2 linked regions of the Saccharomyces cerevisiae S288C genome follow. The protein of the gene in region 2 interacts with the protein of the main gene of each other region in a pairwise test. Each region holds a gene or a part of one and is shown on either strand. Other genes may lie near its edges.

The links. Proteins that work in one complex are often made in the same cells at the same time.
Region 1: the proteins of OCA4 (region 2) and OCA1 interact in binary tests that used the Saccharomyces cerevisiae proteins (3 or more experiments, as listed by UniProt).

The regions. Positions count from the first base shown.
Region 1 is NC_001146.8:438,067-441,213, forward strand, and holds OCA1 (putative tyrosine protein phosphatase OCA1), read right to left. Parts: upstream 1,218-3,147; coding exon 501-1,217; downstream 1-500. Other genes in the region: MIC27 (Mic27p), read left to right, coding at 1-251; Ras family GTPase RAS2, read right to left, coding at 1,536-2,504; PLS1 (Pls1p), read right to left, coding at 2,731-2,853.
Region 2 is NC_001135.5:287,670-291,176, forward strand, and holds OCA4 (Oca4p), read right to left. Parts: upstream 1,590-3,507; coding exon 501-1,589; downstream 1-500. Other genes in the region: aminophospholipid translocase regulatory protein CDC50, read left to right, coding at 1-268; YCR095W-A (uncharacterized protein), read left to right, coding at 1,970-2,128.

The DNA of each region.
Region 1 (3,147 bases), on a different chromosome or scaffold from region 2:
TACCATGGGTATTGGCAGCAGCTACATTCAAGTATTGGGCTCCACAGACATCACAGAATTTGGTCAATGCCACTGAAAATGATTTACTGCCAGCTGATTTCGTCAAGTCATATCACAATACTTGGAAACGAATTTATGAGGAAGGATATGTTGCCAAGAAATGTGATTTAAAACGTCAAATCGATCAGACATTACAAAAAAATATAAGGTATGCAAGGGAACAGCTTTATGAAAAGTTGGAGCAAGCATGATATCAAGCGGATATCTTTTTTTGTTCATTATCATGTCCATAGTAAGTATGTCCATATATAAATCGGATAATTAATATTCTATAAAATTACCCATTAAATAAATTTCATTTATTTTGAATTTCATTTCGTGTGATCTTTAGAAGTTGGTTCGCGAATGGGCCGTGCATCCTGAAACATTTCAAACTTTAGGTAAATGGTCATAAAGCTCAGTGCTTTTTCTTTATCTTTTGCATTTTTTTTTTCTTGCCTCTACTCCAAAGCTGTCAGTAACCAACTTGGTGCTTTATTTTTGTCTATTTTTACTAAATTAGTGTCGAAAGCTTCTATAAGCAACTCTACAAGAATTCTACCACCTCTGCTACCAGTAAAGCGTCTATATTCTTCGGATACACTGGCTAAGTTCCAACCCATTATTCTTCTGAGACATCCAATGACTGTCCCAGTCCTATGTCTTCCCATACCACAGCACACTAGCAAGGGATAATTCTCTTGAGTGACGATCGTTTGTAGTACATTAATTATAGAATGTTCAGTGAGACCGTCCCATGGATTATCGTCCTCACCGGCATCCGGGTTGATGGCTGCGAATTGTAAGTTTATTCTATGAGTATCACAAAACTCTAGGAGGGTATCTTGAGGTTCTTCGTTAGACAGCCATATAATTGTTTTCAGTTTTAGGTTTAGTAAAAAGGGGAAATTCACAGGTGAAGGCTGACCAGATCTATAGAGGTATCTTTCAACGGGACAGAAATTCAAAGGTGGAACGATACGTTCTTGTGGGGCATGTGATACCAAGACCTTTTCGCGACCAGATTCTGTTTCTTCATTGATATATATATGATCATCATCGTCGTCTTCTTCCTCGTCTTCGTCTTCTACTTCTTCTTCAGGTACGGATACGTTCTCTTCTGTGAGGCGGGACTCATCCTCTGGAACGTCCTCATATTCACCAACTTTAGATGTCATTCTAAGGGGAAAGAGAAGCTTGTTATTCCAGGTGGAACACCTCTTTCTTGTGAAAATGGATGTGATTGATGACTCTCTGCAATGTCCAATTTTATGTTATAGCGATGTTGTTTGTTTTTTCCTTTACCCGGCAACCATATGATATTGCCCAAAGTTTCCAATGTTAACAAGAATGAAACGGAAATAGCAAATGGCAATAAGCAATATAAAAACAGTCACTTTTTTATTTACTTTTGTATATATTTATAAATGTGTGTACTCGTTTCAACTTTATAGAGTTCTTTTCGTCTTAGCGTTTCTACAACTATTTCCTTTTTATTAACTTATAATACAACAGCCACCCGATCCGCTCTTGGAGGCTTCACTGGTGTTACCGCCGGGTGCAGCTTGCTGCTTCCTAGCCTGTTTAGCATTTGAAACTTGACCGGCCTTACTATTATTATTTACACGATTATTAACCGTATTAGCGCTTTGAGCGTTGGCCTGACCAGCTTGGCCCGTGGAATTGTCTATATTGGTGCGATCAGTTTGTGTCTTACCATTTGTCGCCTGGTTGCCTGCCAACCCTGTCTTACTCTCTATGCTTGCATTCCTGGCATTCACGACAGTTGTGCTACTGTTCACATTTTTACCGTTGGCAGCATTGCTCATCTTCCTGTGGCCACCGCTATTTCTAGGCACAGAGTTGGCACCGCTCCCTTTTGTATCTTGAGAAGTTTGCTTGGAGTTGTCATTTTCCGTCAAAGTCTTGTTGTACTTGCCGCCTTCGTCTCTAACTAAACGTGCTAGAGTGTAAAACGCCTCTTCCACGTTGATTGCTTGCTTAGCAGATGTCTCCAAGAAAGGAGCGTTCATTTGCTTTGCCATGTTCAACCCGTCCTGGTAAGAGACCTGTTTTTCGTTTTCTAAATCAGATTTGTTACCAACAACCACAATTGGAACATAGTCGGTATCTTTGACTCTCAATATCTGTTGATAGTAAGTCATAAGCTCATCAAGAGACGACTTGGACGTTATAGAGTAAACCAATAGGAATCCTTCGCCGTTGCGCATGTATTGTTCCCTCATAGCAGAGTATTCTTCCTGCCCTGCAGTATCCAAAATGTCCAATATAGACACTTCATCATCAATCACCACTTGCTTCCTGTATGAATCCTCAATTGTGGGATCGTATTCATCTACAAAGTGCGATTGGGTCAATTGTATGGTCAAAGCAGATTTACCAACACCACCACCACCAACGACGACTAGCTTGTACTCTCTTATGTTCGACTTGTTCAAAGGCATTTTTTTTTCTGTATATCTCCTTTCAATTCGAAAACGGTTAACTTGGTTTTTTTATCCGTAATTCTCTCGTATCTTTCTGCTCAAGTAATTTTCTCCTAGTTGATTAATATAGTGCAGAAGAGTCAGATAAAGAGTGGATGAATAAAATGGAAAAAAAACAAAAGCCGGATTGCGTTACGCTTGAAATGAGCGATTCTAGGCGATAAGAGAAGACAACGGCTAAAACTTAAGATGTTGGGGTACTATAAATGTTTACCCAGATTTTCGGTAGAAATGTTTGCTGATGTGAACCTTGTTTCCCGTTTTCCCAGATCCCCTTATTCCAGCTTTGTTTCGTCTTTGCTGTCATGTTCCGTTTAATTTCTGAAGGCCTGCCTAGCTTCACCGTCCTAAATGTCACGCTCCAGGCAGAGACATGGCGCAGGGGCGAGGCCAGGGGCAAAGGGGTCAGGCAGGAACCTCCAAGGGGGGCGAGGTGAATGAAAAGGTCCTTCTGAATAAAAAGCCTAAGCGATTAGCCACACCACCCACTGTACGGCGATTAGACTGAGCTGCTGGCGCTGCTACGCCGTGACAAGTCATTTCATCATTTATTACGTTTTATCGTGCCGTCATCACCATCGATTTGAATATTTTATCTAGA
Region 2 (3,507 bases):
GTTGAATTATCCGATTTCACTCTTTGGTGGCACAAAATCATTTGTACTGACTACAAATGGAGCTATTGGTGGTAGAAATATGTCACTAGGCGTACTGTACCTCATCGTTGCAGGGCTTTGCGCCTTATTTGGCATCATTTTTTTGGTTAAATTAATCTTCCAACCAAGAGCGATGGGTGATCACACTTATTTGAATTTTGATGATGAAGAAAACGAGGATTATGAGGATGTACACGCAGAGAATACAACATTGAGGGAAATTTTATAGAGGCCAAAAAACAAACTTTAGTGCCTGTAGGTATTTGTGTTTATAAGTAAACAAGTTTTGTTGACTTCCTGAAACGTAAACAAAAGAAAAATTGAAGTATGCCTTTTTACGCTTGGAAAATAGTGCGACAAAGAACTCCCAGGGTTTGCTATTCCCATTTAGATGATGAAATGATAGAAAAGTGGAAAACGTTTATCATGAAATCATCTATACATATACGTAAAAATGTAAACTATGTAAAAATATGTTCCCTATAAAAGTGATGCTCTTCCGGAACGTTTTCTTTTTCCCACAAATCTCGTTGAAACCTGAACCAATCTGGTAATTCAGAATCACAGGGTATCCTTATTTTGACGTTATCTTTTCCCCTTGCTTTATAATAGCCATAATCTCCATTTTCTTTTTTATTAAATGCTAATCTATACCTATGGCCAAAAATTCCTAGGTCAGAAGAGGTTTTCTTCAAATCGTCTCCTAGAACTCCACTTACTTGTAATACTTTATTATTTTTCACTTTGGTTTCGATTTGATTTATTAATGTCAAAAGCCGCTGAGGCACTTCTGGCTCTCTGCAAAGGTCATCTTCATTTACTCTAATAAGTTTGCCAGAATTGGCCTTATACTCTATCGAATGCGTCCTATTATTCTCAAGGGGCAATTTTTTTGCTTTGTTGTCCACAATTGTCTTATTATCCTTCTCCTGTTCTATCTCAATGTTAATTATTTCTAGAAATGTTTCCGCAAAATAATTTCTATTCTTACCAGAAAATAATCTGTACTCATTTATGATTGATGCAATATTCCATTTCTGAATTTTTCGAAGTATACCAATGACCAACGCGGTCTTATCTACCAATAAAACATTATAATTATCCACATTCAATAATGTTTTGAAAGTTCTTTTTAAACACGTGCTCTTAATCAGCATTAAGTCATCATTGTCAGTCAAGTGGTAAGCCAATTCCTCCTGAATTACAGGATCCCCTGTAGTAGAATTTTGTGACCCATTTGCAGTGGATTTTTTCTTTTCTTCCTGTAATGATAGAGTACTGTTATTATTCGAATATAAATTTGCGTTAGATACAGAAGAGCTTTTTACCGGAACTGCCGCAGCCGAGAAATCAGACATCCTTAAAACAATCCATTTTATGGATGATCTTGTGAAAAAATCTTTGAAAAACTTGGATGGTTCTTGACCTCCAATAAATATAGCTGTCTTTAAATTGAGAGTTTCCAGAAAGGATAAATTTAATGTCTCCACTTTAGAACATCTATATATTCCTTCTTCAGCAATCCCAAAGTTAGCAGGTGGAACCAGCATTATGAATTCAGGTTATGGATCGCACCAGTGCTGTAAGTGTCTCTCTTTTTATTCTACGATCTCCATATAACAACCACATCTCATTTCTTTACCTTACTGTCCATTTAATGCTAGAAAACTTCCGAATATTGTATTATTATTACCCGGATATGTCAAGGCGGTATATTAAGATGTTCCTTTCAAAAGTTTCATTATACCGCATACGGTAAGGACAGCCATAAGTAGTTTTACTGATAAAATATGGGGCTAAAGAACTGTATATTTATGGATAGCACTAAAAGTAAAGATTTTCCCCGTGTCCTGACTTGGAGAAACAAAATTTCATTGTCATAAAAAACTTTTAAAATATGATATTCAAAGCTTGAGCATTGGGCTTCTGGATGACAGTTCTAATCAAGTTGGGTCTAAGGATATTGCATGTATACAAAGGATTCTTTCGGAAAGTAATCCTGAAATATTTTTTTTTTTCGTCTGAACATACGAAAGTAAATAAAAAAAGTTCAATGCATGCCTTCCTATGCAAGATTTATAAAAGGTGAACAGGTCAGGAGCAGCCACATCTCAATAAAGGCAGTTAAAGACGGTGATGTAGGTGCAGAAAGAGAAAGTGAACAAAGGATGATTTGAGATGTGTAATGATTCGTTTGAGCAGCAACAACTGCTAAGATATTCATACTAATAGGCCACTTCACACATTATGCCTTGGAGAATATCCTGCATTGCTCCTTTTATAGTATAGTCTATTCAGCACTAACAAGCAAAGCGAACATAATGGTAAAACTAACTTCAACTGTTGCTGGTGTCGCCTGCATCGCTGGCCCTCCCCTCCACTACGGCCATTTTAGCACAACTTGAATGAGTCAACTTGGTTGAGTTGCATGTTAACGTCTCTGATATCAGAGCTCACTTGCTCAATAATACATGTTACAAACTGCCCACTAAATTGAACACTCTAACATTATATTGACCTGAATTATTTGAAACGAAGTCAACAGAATGATCACTGATTTTCCAATGTACTCCGCTATGTTGAAGCTAGCCATCTTAAGCGATCAATGACGGTGCTCAATCATTCTTCGAAATGGGCTAAAAATGACAGTTGAAATATATTCTTTACGTTCATTTTTTTTCATACTGCAAACCCATTCTAGAACCAATGGTAAAAGTGACGGGAGTTGCTTTCTTTTACTATTTCAATGATAGCTATAGCCTGCATACACACAAAAGAATGTAAGTGATTGCGTGAAAGCTTAAAGTCTTAAAACTGTATTTTTTTCAACTCCTCCCATATATTAAACTGGTCCTCACAGTTCGCAGGATAACTAACAATTAAAAAAATTGTTCATATGGTTGTATTTCTTTCCGTCTCACATTATTAAAATTCAACGAAGAAGTTTCTACAATAACAGACAAGGGCCTACGATTACTATGTACTGGAAGGTGAGTCTTGAATTCATCCTCAGAGATTGTTCTAAAGACCAACAGAAATCCATATAGATTACCGTAGTTACTCTGATGGAATTTCAGAGTAAGACCCTTGTCAACTTCATCACTTTAAGTTGAGATGTAGAAAGACACTTTTGTAAGGTCTCCAACAAGTATATTTGATAAATAGACTGTTGAGCTACAAAAACTCAATGTGAAGTAAAAGACCTCATAAATGATCGATTATCTGTTTGGCAGGTACTAATAAAACTGCATTGGTGTCTTTTTTCACTTACGTTAAAAAAAACTTTTTGCAATGATTTAAGCGTGCGTGAAGATAACACTACAATCCATTTTAAAGCAACATCCACATTGAGTGTATACACCACAAAGGTTTTTTCAGGGCGTTTTTCTCGCCACTTTATGTTGACCAAAATTATTAATGGAACTTACAACGTTTCCAAAAGTTAGTTAAATACATACGTCTATTTAC